Linked DNA regions of Drosophila melanogaster. The protein of the gene in region 1 purifies or fractionates together with the protein of each later gene. This does not show direct contact. Each region holds a gene or a part of one and is shown on either strand. Other genes may lie near its edges.

Region 1 (7,955 bases):
GGAAAAGAGATCTCCGGCTCTTGAGAGATCGCGTTTGGCGAGCACTTTGTTGAAAAGTTCGTGCATCGTGGAGAATTCCCCAATTAGTATTCGTCAAAATTCTTCATCTGCAGCAACTAAAAAAAATATGAATTCCATATTAACAAGGATCTTTGTAAAAATTGCATCCGATTTATATATTCTTATATGCAGTTATTGCTTAATATTTTAGTATTGCAAAAGAAATCACGATCCATTGAAATTGACTATATCCAATGAGAATTAGTCGGGTGTATTTGTTTATTTTAGTCAGTGCATTTTTTCACTGCCATGTTTGGAATTGGCCCATTGCCAAAGTTCAGGCGCCTCTGGCAGCCACTTTTTATCTTATCGCCGGGCATTTGTATAGAGGTTTCGCCAAAATATTTACTTGTTGCTCCAGAGCAGTTCTATTCTCGATTGTCCCGAAAGTGCATATATAAGTTGCTGTAGTTGTATAAATATAGATATTCCGCGGACACCAAATACTTGTTGCACTGCCTCGATGTTTATCTAAGATACTCTCAGGCAGAATTGCCCTTGCTCAGCCTCTGATGGAATGTATATTTCATGTTATACGAGTATGTATGCAGCCCAGCCAGAGAACTTGTGATATCGGAAATCCAAGCGAAATATACTAGCTAAAACAACTATCTTTATGGCAAACAAATTTGGGTCAATTATCTTTATGGAACCTTCAACTAATACGCATTGAGTCCATGATTGGCCCACATTAATTGCACAAGCTAGTTTGTTTACCCAAGAATCTGCACCGTATGGCCGGCCAGAAATTCTGCGAAAATGATTCGGCGGCTCTGTTTTCCGTGGGGTTTCCCGCAAACGCTATTTGTGTTTGCCCACTTGCAGTTGGCCGCTTGTTGGTTCCGCTGATAGCACCGGTAAATTCTTGGCCAACTTGCCGTCGAGTTCTTTGGACCTTCGTGGAATGCAGGTCTTTTGATTAGATGAGCAAAATTCCGGCAAGGGATTAGACGCGACTTAGCGGATCAGCCGGGAATTTGCTGGCTGGCCAAATCCGTGGGCGCTAAAAAAAAAACATGAAATGAAAAGAGCTGGCAGAAAAGTCATTTCGCGCGGCTGTCGCGCCATCAAGGAAGCAGACGCTAACGCCAACGCGCCTGGGTTATTAAATTTTCAAATAAAAACTGAAAACTGAAAGCCGAAAACCGAAAACTAAAAACCAAAACCAAGAGTTGCATAATCCATAGAGGCCAGTCAGGCGGGCAAAGCGGCTCTGCACGCGAATTGCAGACGGGACGGGTTGCTTTGGGTTTGGGTTCGGGCCTCTCGACGGGCGGACAAGCCGACAAGCGGACGGACGGACGGACAGACATTTGCTTCCTGGAAATCGGGACAGAAGACAGCGACTGGGCTGCTGTGGTTGTTGTTATTTATGGCTCATTCGCGCTCAGGTTGCAGCACCAACAACAAACAGAAAAACTGGTTAAAAAATAAATAAAGAAGCAGCAACAAGTCGCAGCAACAGCAGCGGCAGCAGCAGCAGCAGCAGCAACTTTGAGCGCCCGAGAGAAAATTAAAAGAGAAATAGAAACACACATATGTATGAAAAAAGGGGTTCGAGCTCGGGTATAAGTAATGGATGATGGCGTTGGCTAAAACATAAACCGAAACCGGTGCGGCAGGTTAATACACACGAAGCCCCGGGCCCAAGATCGCAGGGGGGGGGAGGTTTAGAGGAGGGCATGGTCTCCAGATTTCGGAGACAGAGTGGAAACAAAGGCTGTGCCAAAATTCGGGGCCCCATAACTCTTCGCTTAGATTCTATTTGCATTGCTCCACAAAATGGCAGAGTTCAGGAACGGAATAAAGCCAGCCACTAAATATCTTAGTTCGTCAAGCCTTTCTATTACAGTCGAACTTCTTGGACTCTTGGACAGCAATTTGGGTCAATTATTGTGATTACTCAAGCTTTAAGCATTTCAAAATCACGAAATGTATATGTTTTGAAACTACAATCCATTTTAGGTAATGAAATGTATTTTGAATCAGTATTTTTGAAGAATTTGTTAAACCCACAATAAGACTTCTAGGACTAGGCGGCTCACGGGGTGATATTTGAATATACTCGATGACGCAAAGTTCGTGAATATTCGGAGTGAAAAAGATATGCACGCAATTTGTAGATCTTGAACGTGACAAGATCACAGTTCGACTTACAGAAGTCTGTCTGTGCTTTTCGAAGAGCGTGCGAATGACTCAATTCCCAGATGGCGACACAGATACAGAGATGCCTCGCTATGAGTAACCCTACCTGTTGGCCAGGGCTGGACTAGCCGACCAAGTGGCACGGCCTTCGTGGATCTCCTTGTTGGGAGTTTCCGCGAACCGGGCAGCCGGCTCACATAACCGTCACACTGGACGTATACGTATTCTGATCCAGCGAGCATTCCGAGCTTTTCCGAAACCGAGTCGCATTGCGTGCTTGGCAAGTGTTTGGTTCTTGTTTGTGCATTCCATTGTCATACCTGGACAATCCAATGTGGCCCGAGGAGCGTCAAGTGTCTCGACTGCCAGCCACTAGTCGCTGGCCACTGGCAACTTGCAACCTGCAACTTGCAACTTGCGACTGCAATTACACGTCGGTTCAAAGTCTGCAAGGCGCCTCGGGGGAAAAAGGAGTTTTTGGCGGCTTATAGTCGCAAAACATACATAACTAGTATTAGTCGATGTCGCTGGAAAACTCGTTTTCCTCTAACTCCGATCGCACAATCCGTTTTTGCGTCTGTTTTGGTTTCTGACTACCTGGTGGTGGGTTGGGTTTGGCTGACTGGGATGCCTCCGATTGGAAATATATTTATCTAGTCAATTTGAAATCTGGGTTGCAAATGTCATCAATAACTATTGGTTAAGGTTGAGTAGTAGTAAGGCTCTTGTGTGGGAACTATCTCAACAATGAGCGAAGTATGTATCTTTTCAATTGCATGCATTTAATATCAGTTTCACAATGTAGATCTCTTATAAGCAAAACTGAATTGCCAAGTCAGCTGTTTTGATCGATCCATGAGTTAAATAGAGAGACGATCATGTTCGACAACATTTATTCAAAATCAGTATGCATTTAAAATCAAACTTATACGTTCTTAGCCAATTCATATTTAAGTGTATTGCATCACCAGGTAAATTATGTTATCTACCCCACCGAAAGCCGAAAACTACCTACATGTACGAATTAGCAAAAAATTATAATTTATTCGTACCGCTTCTCCTTTACCTTCCCCCCTTGCCAAGTATTTGGGGACTGCGAAAAGTAAAGACAACATCAACACGGTAATCCGATCCGCAGACGAGGTGATTCCGGGGACAGGAGTGCGAGTATGTTGAAAAATGAGCGGCGCGTGAAACTTATTAATGAAAAGGCCGCGAACGAAGAAATTGCTGCGAATTAGCCCAACAACAAGAAGCGGGCACACGGGAATATATACAAATATCGCCACAGATACTAACGCTCACATTTTGGCACATTTTAATGGGATTGGCGGAGTCTGCGATCGGAGATTTTCTGGATTTCTGGCTACCTGGGCAACTTTTTATTGAAATATCTGGTGAAATTGCGGCATAAAATCGTTTGAATTTAGCGAATAACACTGATCTTGTGGTATTATTAACTCTGCTTTAAAGCTATAAGCTCTCTTCTGAAAAGTCTAAGATTAAACTTAAGTTGAGAATTTAGTTTCGAATTTAATATATGAATTATAAATGCATACATTATTAACATACGCGGAGATAGCAAAAGCATAACATTATACTTTATTATTAAGTTTGTAAGGTCAAACTTTAGTCACTCACGATTAGATAAATGTTACACTTTTAAAAAACCTATCACTGTTTGATTTGTCGAATTTCATATTATTGCTTTGATTATGTTTAAAGAGCACTAAACCCCATATAAAGTAAGTGGCTAACGAACGAAGTTTTAACTCGCAATCCAATCGAGGCAATTTCAAATTGTATCTTTCGGTCTGCGAATTTGAATGCGGCAACGGTGAATGGGCGAAACTCACCGAATTGCATCTGCGGCTGCTGGCAGACAGATGACCAGTCCGTATCACTTCGAAGTGTGGGCCTCGAATTCGGAGTCGGTTTCCGATTCGGAGCTAAGCCGCTCTCTCAATACATCGCTCTTGCAGCAGCAACACAAAATCCAAAAAAAAAAAATCAACAGACTTGAAAAGGTAAAAAAGGTAGACAACGTTTGTGGTTGTTGCTGCTGCCGCTATTGTTGTTGCGGCTGTGGTGTTGTATTTTTTTTATGGCTGCTACTTTTGTTAACTTTGGGTGTAGTTCAATATTAATTTAATTGTTGCTGCTGCTGCCGATAAAGCACAAAATTCAGAATTGTCGTTGGCGTTACTTATTTTTTTACGGCCGCGCTTTGTTGCCGCGCCAGCGCATTGCTTTTTATGCAAATTTTCGCATTTCGTGTATATCTCAAAAGATATGTTTCGTATGTACTATTATTAATATATGTATATGTGTATATTTTGTTGTTTTTTAGTGTCGACTGTTACTGCCGCCGACTGTTGTTTCAGCCACAATGCCTTGTTCCACTATGCCTGATTTCTTTGTATTTTTGCTAATCACATTTTGTTAACACACACACTCGCATGCACAGGCACACACGTAGGCAGGCGCACGCACACACCGATAGGCGAAGAAAGCGACGGATACGAGCCGCTGGCCAAGCGAACGCGTTTGGGCCCGAATGAAGACTGAACTGAGTTATTTTTCGGAATGGCCGAGACTGGTGTGGTGGTCGGTGTGCCTGTTGTTGTTGCCTGTTTGTTTTGCACGATCGCTCTCTCTTGGCTCTCTCTATCACTCTCTGGACTCTCTCTCAGCACCTTTGCTACCGTTTCGCAGAACAGGTGTATCGGTTTTCAAGGCAACTGTGATTTTTTAACTCAACATTCTATATCGAAAACTTGTAGAGGTCGGAATTTTTCTTGAGCGCCTAAAAGTGTGCAGTGAAATCATTTAATCCACTTCCGGTTGCAAAACAGGAATCACACATATGAAGTGATTAAAAATCATAGAAGGTTTGACACCTTCAAATAATAAGAAAACAAAAATTTGTAAACTGTGATAATTTATTTAATTGAAATCTTAATTTAATGGCCTACAAATCTGTTGAATATCCGTTGAATACACTTTTCCAGGGTGTGTCCTAGTCGGCTCCTCTTTGTTACCCCAGTTTGCTGGTCTTCTTAGCCGCACACCAGTTTATCGCTGTTTTGCCTTTGCGCTTTTCATTCATAAACAAAAAACAATGTTATTGTTATTGCGGTGGCTGTAGATGTAAATGTAAATGTAGATGTAGAGGCTGCTTCTTGTGTCTGCTTCCTTTTCTTTGCTGTTGCGATGTTGCTGATTCACCTGTTGCGCACGATTTAGCAACTGGCCACTAGCAACATGTTGCTATCGGCAGATGATGTTGCGATTGCATTTAAACAAACCCAACTTAATTCGTGAAAAATCGTGGCCAATTATCTAAAGCTTTTCGTTAAGTTAAACTACGTACGTCAAACAGGATAGATGGATGGCTCAAGGTCGAAGTTTTAGGAAATCTTCCCCTCGACTTTGAACCCCGTTCGAAGCGCGGTTTGGACAAACACACTCGAAGATCCATTAACGATGCACCGCTAACAAGCGCCACTGGCGGTTCAAAGTACTGCAAAGCGGTGCAGCCAGCCACTTCCTCTATTTGCCAGTTAAATAGCCCCAGGCCAGGCGTATGCACCTCTTGAGTCACCGGGTCAATATCTTTTAGTACAAAATTAACATACGAAGTTTATTCCGCATTAAAGGTAACATTACAATAGTCTCTAGCTGGTTTAAGATCGCTAATTGCTGGGATTGGGTTTTTAGGCATACTTGGCCACCAGGCCCTCCACAAAGGTGATGTACTCCTGCTGGGCGGCCTCGCTGCTCTTGCCCTTCTGCTTGTTCCAGGCCTCCCACTTGGCCTTGCCCTTCAGGTCCAGGAGACCCGGCTTGGCGGTGTCGTTGTCACCAACGCTGGCCTGCTTGAACAGGGCGTACAGCTGCAGGAACTCGTCATCACTGGGACGCTTGGTCAGGCTCTTCACCTTCTCGGCGGCGGCGTTGAATTGCTGAAGATAGACGGGATGATTTATTAGTGGAAAATCTATCAAGTGGGATCGTAAAATCTATTGAAAGTGGTATTATAAAAAAGGTTTGGAATATTAGTTGCAACAATATCTACTAACAAACTGTCATTAAAACTAACAAAAATAGTTGTGCGAGATAAAAATATTCTCTGGAAACTACAAAAAATTATAATTATCGATTTCAACCGAAAACGGTTATTACTTCAAAACAAAATCGTATTTGAACAGCTGTCCTTGCTTCAGCGGAAACACAATCTTATCTCATATTACGATTACAATTTTAAGATTGAAAAGTCAATCGCTTATGAATAGATTTCGCTCAGTGTATAGTAATCGAACAGGTGATTAGCAGCAAGGCTATCGCGCCCTAAATGTTGGTAGACTGTTGCTATCAGTGCATAATCTTTTGGGAAAAGTACTTACCTCGGAAACCATTCTGGGTTAGATTTTATCTGTAAGTAGTGGAATTGTAAAAAAAAATGTTTAATTAGTCATGTTTATGAAGTGGTCAGCTTAATGTTTATTAGCATAATAAGTAAAACCAGTTCCGAGTGAAGAGGCTGGCGTGTGCCAAACAGAGCCAGCTGGAAATGACCTTTGGCCCCGGGGGGCGATCTTGAAGACCCTACGAATGTTTGCTAATGGATAGATGTTTGTTCGACTTTCTCCCGGCTGAAATACATAATTCGAGTAGAACTGGGAAATTATGCTGCGGAAACAGCAGACGCAAATATTTGTCTCGACTGCGAGATTTTTGAAAGGGAGCGAGCGGGCAACCGTTAGCGGCCGCTATTGGCCGGCGAATTTCGACCAATTTGGATACGGACGTGGGCTTTGTACGTGTCTAGCACTGAGCAAAATATCTGGCACATACATATGGTCATGCTTAGTTATGGCCACGCCATCTTGCAGTTCTAAAATAAGTAATCATTTAAAAGGCACTCATTTAGTTTATGGGCGTTGGAAATTGCAATAGGTCAAGGTGACAAGTTTCGTTTAGCATGTTCCAGAATATGCGTTTCAAAAGCGATTTTTTGTACTATATTTTCATCAGTGCCTGTTGCCTGGCGAATTTCCATAATTGAGCTCTGCAGGTGTATAAACTCGCACGAAATGTCCACTTTATGTGTCACCAGCACTGATATTACCACCCATTAGCAGCTGGGTAATTGAATTTAAACTAAACACTTACTGTTGTGTGTTGTTTGCCACAGAACTAAACAGTGTCTGAATTCCAATCCGGCGGTGACTTTCAATTTAAGTCATTCCATATCGCACGATCGCCCGCAACGAGAAAGCTTCTCCCCAGTGAGCAAAATGAGCGGTTAAGCTCCACTCCGATTCTCAGTGGATCGGGAAGCTTTCGCTGAAGTGGGGCTAGGCATTCGCGTTGCTGATAATGCAGGCCTACGGATAACAGCTCCGATTTCGATTCCCTGATAATTCACCCCACCAAACACCACTGTCAAGACACGTAATCTCGTTCGGATCAAAGTTCGAGGGGTCCCACCGCTCCCAAATCTCCATCTCCATTTTAGTTCCATAATGCACGAAAGCTCCAATAAAATGCCGCTCAGCCGGACAAACACCTGATTATTGCTCATATATCTGGTAATCTTTATTGTCCAACTAAGTACTATAGTGGTGATGGCAGGTGCATGGGGGGTCCGCAATCGGAATCGGATTGGATCGGATTTGATCGGTTGCCGGCTTAGGCGTACTTGGGGGCGTACTTCTCGTACACCTTTACGTAGGCCTCCTTGGCAG
Region 2 (8,591 bases), 960 kb from region 1:
TTTATAGTTTTCAGTAAGGCATATGCACAAGGGAAGGACTCGATCATCGTCGTCTATATCGTTGGATATTCCGGATACTAAGTTGGTTGAAACGAAAGGGTAAACGAAAACGCATAACTAGGGGGAAGACAATACTGGGGACAATTGTATGTATGTACAGTACATGGTTTACAATTGGCTGCTTGATATGAGTATTTAGGTTAAGTTAAACTTTAGTTTAGTGCTTAGTTGGTTAGAAGCTAGAGAACTAATAGCCGCGATCCTTGACCATCCCTATACTAGCTCGAACTTAGAGATACTTTCGCACTGTTACAGACTACACGTTAAAACTCCTTCAATTAGATTTCATTGCAGTAGTTATTGCTGTTTGGTTGTCGAGGTGTCCTGCTGATTGTGATGCTAAAGAATCGTATAATTAACTTGTTCAGAGTGTCTCGTGTTGGCTGTGTTCTTTTGTATTTCCCAAATGGTGGAGGCCATTAGTTGATGTTTCATAATTTGTTTAAATTAAGTTTGCTTTATCAAATACCCTGCAACTTCATTTAATTATCACAGTTTTTCATCAGAGATAGTTTAAATGTTTCAATATTTCTTCTTTTAATTCATATTTCTGTTATTTCATTTTCTTGGTTGTTCGTTCACATTTTGTGTTGCTACAGTATGCAAGTAAAAAGCAAGCGAGTTGAAATTTGTGCAAACTTGAGTTCTATAACTAAGCATTTTATTTTAATCGGCAAATAAGGATTACTTTGCTTTTGCCTAGGATGTGTGGGGAGGGGTTTGGTTATTAATGATCTTCCACACATCTATGCCTGATATGCTGCCCGCTCTTTTCTCGATAATCTTATATTATACCTACTCTAGGTGTCTAACTTTTGTTTGTTTCTTTTTTTTTTTTGGTGAGCAAGTCGTCTTGTGTAAAACAAACATCGATTTTACTTTTAAAGTAGTTTCTGTTTTATTTTTTATCATAATTTAAACGTAATTATTTGGAAGCAAATGATGGCATATTTGTTTAACTTCTCCTTAATATTTTTTTCAGCGTTTTGTTCGTGGTTCTCTGCACGTTTAAAACACAAACATTTTTCAGCGATAACTTGAACAGCGCAATTAACACAATACACAAAATATTTAAATGTAAATTTAAAATGTCTTCTTGGAAAGTCTTCTTTTGAATTTCTCATTTCGTTTGGTTTGGTCTGGTAATTGTATTTACGCATAGTTAGGGTGTATAGATCGGGGGTGTAGATCATTCATTTGGTGACAAATGCCGAGTGTTGTCCTTTCGTTATGTTTATTATCCTTCTTCTTTTGTGGTTTGTTTTTCATTGTTTTTGTACTTTCGACAAAGAATATGTTTTGTTATTTAAACCGATTTGTATACAAACAAGGTAATAATGGCAAAAGACAGAAGTATATAATCATATACCTCTCTAATACATAATGCGTATGTTTGTGCTTGCAGCATATGGGTATGTGGTGTTGAACGTGTTGGTATTTTGGCATTGCTTTTGCTTTCGATTTCAAAATACATACAATAAATACAAGTCTCCAATTTAACAATACAAGTATAAGTGCGGAGTTGTCCATATATTACGTCACCACTAATTGGAGGGGATTCCCCACAATAGGAGGACGATAACGTACGACTTTGCGATAACGTAATTTACTGACAGCTCCAAAAGTGTATATATATATATATATATATATATATATGTATATACATACATATATCATATGAATAGATAGATAATCCTCATCTGATCGAGCTAAAACGAATACAATACAAATATAAACTAAGCATTCTAAACGTTGCGTGAATTTTGGTACTTTAAGTAATGCTCATAGGTTGCCTAACACATTGAGAGTATTGAAAGTAAAAGCGTACTAAATCGACAGACTAATACATATTACAAACAAAATACAGTTTTCTTAATTAGGAAACATGAAGAAAGTGTAATAATTAAAATAATTGGCAATACGAGCGAGGAGCAGAAGGAATCAACAATACACTTTTTACTGTGAATATTTTTTTTTAGCTTTTTGATATTTTTTTGATGCTATTTTTTTTTTTTTTTTTTTTTTTTTTTTTTTTTTTTGTTTGATAATTTGCATTTTGGTTTTGGGCGGGTTTCGGCCTTTTGCTAATACACAAATCTTTTGTTGTACTATGCAGCCTGTTATATATGTACGTATAGTAGTAGTATGTGGTATATATTTATATAAATATGTATGCATGATAATGACCAAAGAGCAAATCAAAGGCGTTTTTACAATTTCTCGTCGACACAATATCGCTTGAATGATGTATGGTGTGGTGAGGAAGTGCATTTATGTGGTCGTAGTTGCAATTTCAACATTGTTCGTCTTGGCGGCAGCGGCCAATTTCTGCTGCTCCGTTGTGATGTTGGCTTCGTGGCCATCCACGTTGTTACTGCTGATATCGTTGGCATGATTGCTGAAAGGTAAACCCCTGGTTTTAATTACAAGTGCAATGTATTTAAGTAATAAATGGTAAAACAAAAAATTGAGCTACAAACCAATACATTGCATAGGTGTAAACTTGTTTGGCATTTTAAATAGATTAAAAGTATAAACATTTCATATATACATATTTACATACCCACGTGCAAAAGGGTTAACTTACAATTCATTCACTTTGCTGTCTGGTCCATTTGAAATGGGAGTAATTTGCTCGGTCTCCGAAGGACGATCCGCACCCAGTGGCTTGGTCCACATTCCCTCATCGTCCTCATAATCATCCTCGCCGTCCAGCAGTACGGATTGCAATCGAGTAACAATTGCTGCAGTCTCCACCACGCTCGACTCGGCCAGCTTATCGCTGATGGCCTTCTCCACGTTGGCATTATTGTCGTACTCAGCCTGCTGATCGTCGGTACACGCTAGATTATCCTGAACGCCCTTGCCCACAGCGAGGCCAATAGATTCAGCGGGTTGGCGCTCCTCTTCTGGGTTCACCTGTGTGGCGGATTCCGGCGCTGGGGAAGAGTCCTCCTCTTCCTCTTCACCTGGCGGCGCACTTATGGGCATACCAAGATCGCTGCCAAATGTGCTAAAGTGCGCATCGAAATCAGCAAAGTTATCCGAATTGAAATCCGTGCCCCAGTTGGCAGTGCCCGTGTTAACCTGCGTAGGCGCGCTGGAAAGCACGGCAAACTGGATGTCCCAAGGGTCAGCCAAGTTGTTCAGCGTGTTCGAATTTTTGGTGAACATGCCGTGCCCGTGGCCATCACCACCGCCTGAATGGTCGCCATGCTCATCATCGTCATCATCTTCGTCGTCAATGTTTCGACCAAACTGGAACCGATTCTGATCTATGGCAAAGAAGATGTCTTGCAACGTGTTATTCAGCTCACTACAATCCACTTCTCTGTACGGCAGATTACCAACGTTCCACGCATTTATCTCGCCAGTATAGTCATTGGATCCATCATTGTACTGATTCTCCTCGTGAGGATTGCAGTCGGCCAGGAGCTTGGTCTGCTGTTTAACCGCCAGCGAAAACTCGCCAGTTTCCGCATCGATCAACGATTGCCACAGCTTAACCTCATCTTCATCACTTAGGCTGCTGGTGATCAGATCACCGATATGTTCAGATTCTGATATACAATTCGTAATGTGACGAAGAATTTTAATAAGGTGGCCCATATAGCCCAAACGTCGACCCTTCTCAGCAGATCTAAAAAAAGAACATTTGTTATGTGCCAGACTGATAATTAGTCAATTGAAGTACTTACTGCGCCTGCGCATTGTGCTGCCACAAGTCGACCAGTTTGGATATCAGATGACAGTTTACAATTAACTGCAAATCAGCGAGAATTAAGTTTAGTTGGGTACAAAAGTCAACTAAGACTTACATGTGATTGCATTTCAGAAGGCGGAGGGCTCGGAACGGTCTTGGTCTTGTCGAGATCATTGAGCGTTGCCTCCGATTCTTGCTGATCTGTTGGAGATTCACCATCCACCTCACTATTTTTCACTTCATTATCCTGGGCTTTGGGTTCGGCGTCCTCAGAAGCTGTTGCTTCAGCTGCGGCTTCCACTTGGCTCATATGTTCTTCATGCTCTTGGTTTTCTTCTGCGGCTGTCTGTCGCTCATCGGGCGTCTGGGCAGCCACTTCCTGCGCAGCTGCCACTTCGATTTCGATGTCGCCCCCTTCCTCATCCTTGCCACCTTCCGCGCGCTTCGCATCGTTAAGAGCGTTCTTCATCTCGACTTCGGACTCCTCCGTGCCCACCTTCAAAAAGGCATTGATCAGGCAGTCTGCAGTGAAGTAATCCGTGACCTCCGTGGATGCAGTGTTGTTGTTGGACAGCTCGTTGTAAAAGACCACGTACAGTGCCTTCTCCATTTCTGTGTGCAGGAAGTTGTTCCAGCAGTACTGCTTGAAAAAGTCCAGCAACAGGCTGAAGTACTCAGTCGCGCAGATTCTAAAGTATAAAAAGTTATTATTTATTAAAAGTTCTCCTTTCTATAAAGCAGTGACTTACGCCTGCTGAATAGTCTCATGCTTGGTCTCCAGCAGAGCGGTGAACACGCGACAAACTTGCAGTCGAGTCTTTCCAAATGGGGGCGTTAACACGGCGGCCGTGGTTTCTAGTGTGGGTTTCTACAAGTCAAAAGATAAACAGCTGGTTCTTTGTGACAAAAAGTTTCATGCTAACCGCAGGCGGGTTTTTCAGTATGTGGACAAATTCCTGGAGGCGTGGCGCCATCACAGTGATCACAGTCTCCTGGACTTCCTGGTGGATTTCGCGTTCGCGCTTTTGCAACAACCGCTGGCGATCCGAGTTGGGCTCATCTCTACAGGAAAAAATGTAAATCAATTAGAATAAGGTGACAAATTCACTGGCAGCATAACTTACGTGAAGGTAATTGGCTTGATTAGCGTAAGTACAACCGATATTCCTGATAAGATGGCGCTCTCCTGAGCGTTTGGTTCCAAAATCACATTTAACAAGGCTTCAATTGTGTCCGCAAATTCGATCGTCTTCAGAATGGGGTTGGATCCATCGAAGGCCGGCTCAAACGAATCGTTCTCCTGCTCGGTCTGGCGCATTAGACGCCCTTGGTTAATAAGATCACAGAAAAAGTCGGCAACATTTGCATGTTTGTCGGTTTCTTGAGGATTACGCAATATTGCAATCAGTCTCTCAACAATTTTATCTTCAGTTAGCCACTGTTAAAAGAAATATTCGATAAGATTCGTATGCCTAGGCAAAACTCTCTAATGGACTTACTTCGAAAAGGTTCCGCTTAAGTCGCCCACCCTCGATGTCCTTCATCATCTGCATTATTAGATCAGGTATGACCGGTGTGTCAAAGTGTTTACAAATGAAATCCAAAAAGGTCTTCTGCGATTTAATATACTCCAGGAGTTGTAGGCACATGTGTTGATACAAAAACCAATCTTGTTCAGGCTTTTTGGTAAAGAGCATGCTAAACGTTTTGCTAAAAAACGACGATAGCAATGGATTTAACGGTGGTTCCTTTTCCAGATATGAATACAGCAGCTGCAGCGTCTCCGCGTCGTTCAGTAGCTTCTCATCCAGGGACGGCAGGCCGCTAAAATGGCATGGGCTATAGAATTCTGGATGGCAACGGGCATTCAATTCTTACAGTGTGAGTATCTCACAGGACATGTTGGCATAGCGGAAACGCTTCGACATGGGCACATCTTCAGAGGGCTCGGTCGTGATCAGCTCCACCAGACGCCGTATGACCTCGGGACGTGTAAAGTAGTTGACCAGGTTCTTCTTTTGCGTCTTGCACTCCTGCAGTATGTCCTCCTCGTCCAGAAATTCCTCCAGTGTGGAGTTCTGCGAATGGCGACGACGCGTAACTGAGACATTTCCACTTGATCAGCACGGATCGAGTCAACCTACCTCCTTCTCGAGCAGCGCCTCTATATTCGCGGAGGGCGCATAACCCTTGTCCCAAAACATTTTTCGCACGTACGTCTTGGCGGTGACACTTTCAGTCTGGGGGAAACAAGATCAATCTTCGCTGGACTCGCGGAACGCTGATGACTTGGCATGCACGGCTCTGCGGGACGGGATTGGAGATTTGGATAAGCGGAATAGCGCAATTAATACACTGAACACAGACTAGACTCAGCTCAACACTCGGCTCTCACAAAGTAATGCGTAAATTTTTGTAATTATGCCAAGCAGGCTCCACATATACACTACGAATGCGGGTCGAAAAATGGTTGTATGCCGGTCGTTTGAGATTGCAAGGGTTGCGGGATGCTTGGGCGCACACTTACGAGTTGGCTGGACTTTGTTTTGCTCACTGTTTGTTGCACTTTTGATTGGTTTTCAACCGAAAAAACCACGCTATAATTTTCTTCACTGCTTCGTAGAGGTGGACAATATTCGATTACAGGGTATATTAACTCAGTGTGATATATGCGGCCGATCGACCGTGTCCTCACACAATCGGTTATCGATTGTCATTTTTCAACTTGTTCACACGATAACCGCTGCACATATTGTAGAAACTAAACTACATACAATTATGTTTTATGATTTAAATACAGTTCTTTATTATAAATATATTTCTTTAATTGGTTTTCTTTTTAAATGGTTTTCTTTCTTTTCATTTTTGCCTGAGTTGCTATTTGATAACTTACCGAAAATGTTTTGCTTTCTAGAGAACATAAAGATTCCCCTGTTGCAATCGTTAAATTTAAGCTGTGGAGGTGTGTCATTTGGTGTCCGATATAGATTTTTCTGTTATCGTATATCGAATTGGCGGTCATCGCACATTTGTTTGTCCGAATTGTTATTTCGCAAATAACAATGGATGGCGTTGTTTTGTGCGAAATTGCTGATGAAGTACCTCCAGAAAGTCCCGAGGATCCAACGGAGTTCCGCTACGGAAAGAAGCGATGGGTGTTCAAAGATAATCTCGTTGAGCATAAAGAGGAGATTTTGATTTGTATTGAAAAATGTGTGTAGGCTAACGTACTATAATTGCACTTATTAATAAGAAAATATTTCAGGCCAGAATGCTCGGACGAGAAAGCTGAAGTTCAGATCCATTCGGCAGGAGTCGGGCTCCTGCATCCTGGTGCTAAGCCATGAACAGACGCATGTTCGAGCACGTGAGATCGAGATGGAAGTGGGAGAACAAGTTCTGCCCCTTTTCTTTAAAGACTTCAGAGGCAGTCTCGAGTTCGAGGTGGCCCAGCAGGAGAAGGAGCACAAGCGTCCCTTAAAAACATATGTAACCACCAAGTTGTACGACGCCCTCTACGAAAAGCACCGCCAGACCGTTCATGTTGAACAGGAACGTTCGCTAGACCTGCCGAAAAGATTTCAATCTCAGCTACGCAAGTACCAGCAGCGCACAGTATCTTGGATGCTGGGGCGGGAGCAGCAGATAACTCAAGTGCCGGCCAACTTCATAGTGCTCCATGCCATTGATGGTATAACTCGCGTCTTTAAGCATAAATACTGCTTACAATTTTATCCTTTCGAGGAGGAGATTCCCAAAATCTCGTTGCCGCCGGGTGGCATTCTGGCCGACGAGATGGGCCTGGGCAAGACCGTGGAGTTCCTGGCCATGCTGCTGATGAATCCGCGCCCACAAGACTCCTACCGAAACGATTACTGGCACCAACGCCTCGAGGAGTTTTCCGATGAAGTGCCATTAAAGCGGTCACGTATAAGTAAAAAAGACGAGGTTTTCTGCATCTGCACCAAGAAACACGGTAAACGAGTGCAGTGCACCAAATGCCGTCGGTGGCAACACGAAATGTGCATGACTATTTCAGAAAAATCAGACTTACCCCACCTGTGTCCCAGCTGCTGGTCCGAATTGGTAAAGTCTGGCGAAAGGCTTGTTGAGAGCGGCGCTACCATCATTGTATCTCCGAACGCCATCAAGATGCAGTGGTTCGAAGAGATACACAAGCATATATCGCCATCGCTTAAGGTGCTCCTTTATTTCGGCCTACACTCAACCTTCTGGGTTAGTCCTTTCGATCTGGCCCAGTACGATGTCGTCCTTACCGACTATACGATTCTGCGTAACGAAATATACCATACGACGGACTTTAAGTCGGACCGCCAGATGCGCCACCAACAAAGGTACATGCGTCCCAACTCTCCACTTTTAATGGTAAACTGGTGGCGCGTTTGCTTGGATGAGGCACAGGTAAGAGAATTTTTTACTTTTGTATCCACGGCCCACTGAATATTTTCCAAACTACCCACATCCAGATGGTCGAGAGCAGCACTTCAGCAGCTGCCGAGATGGTTAGAATGCTGCCGGCCATTAATCGTTGGGCTGTTACTGGCACAATTGATGAATTGCCGCCTTTGTTGGAGTTCGTGGGCCGGCCCGAAGTCTGTAGGCCACCGGATGCTTGGCAAACCGTCGACAAGGCCTTTCAGCTTAACTACAAATGTGAGCCGCTGCTGGAACTTCTCGAGCATAGTTTGTGGCGTACCTGCAAGTCCAAAGTTGAGCACGAACTGGGAATTCCGCCGCAAACGGAAGTTGTTCACCGCTTGGAGCTGAGCAACGTGGAGTCCCTTTACTATCGGGAAGAGCATTTAAA

The links. The genes of interacting proteins can lie anywhere in the genome.
Region 2: the proteins of melt (region 1) and fmt purify together in Drosophila melanogaster (affinity purification with mass spectrometry, with the first as the bait; one large-scale study listed by BioGRID). This does not show direct contact.

The regions. Positions count from the first base shown.
Region 1 is NT_037436.4:7,131,334-7,139,288, reverse strand, and holds the start of melt (melted), read right to left. Parts: upstream 4,774-7,955; 5' UTR 4,062-4,773; intron 1,064-4,061; exon of another isoform or gene 778-1,063; intron 117-777; 5' UTR 67-116; coding exon 1-66. Other genes in the region: Acbp2 (Acyl-CoA binding protein 2), read right to left, coding at 5,922-6,170, 6,612-6,623; Acbp3 (Acyl-CoA binding protein 3), read right to left, coding at 7,900-7,955. UniProt on the Drosophila melanogaster protein: Participates in fat metabolism regulation by recruiting FOXO and the TSC1-TSC2 complex to the cell membrane, which positively regulates TOR activity and negatively regulates the expression of FOXO target genes.
Region 2 is NT_037436.4:6,167,470-6,176,060, forward strand, and holds fmt (fiery mountain), read right to left. Parts: upstream 6,412-8,591; 5' UTR 6,291-6,411; intron 6,068-6,290; 5' UTR 5,968-6,067; coding exon 5,908-5,967; intron 5,842-5,907; coding exon 5,642-5,841; intron 5,588-5,641; coding exon 5,263-5,587; intron 5,202-5,262; coding exon 4,888-5,201; intron 4,826-4,887; coding exon 4,687-4,825; intron 4,632-4,686; coding exon 4,513-4,631; intron 4,453-4,512; coding exon 3,879-4,452; intron 3,824-3,878; coding exon 3,759-3,823; intron 3,701-3,758; coding exon 2,648-3,700; intron 2,474-2,647; coding exon 2,332-2,473; 3' UTR 2,100-2,331; downstream 1-2,099. Other genes in the region: CG7376 (uncharacterized protein), read left to right, coding at 6,826-6,976, 7,029-8,185, 8,251-8,591.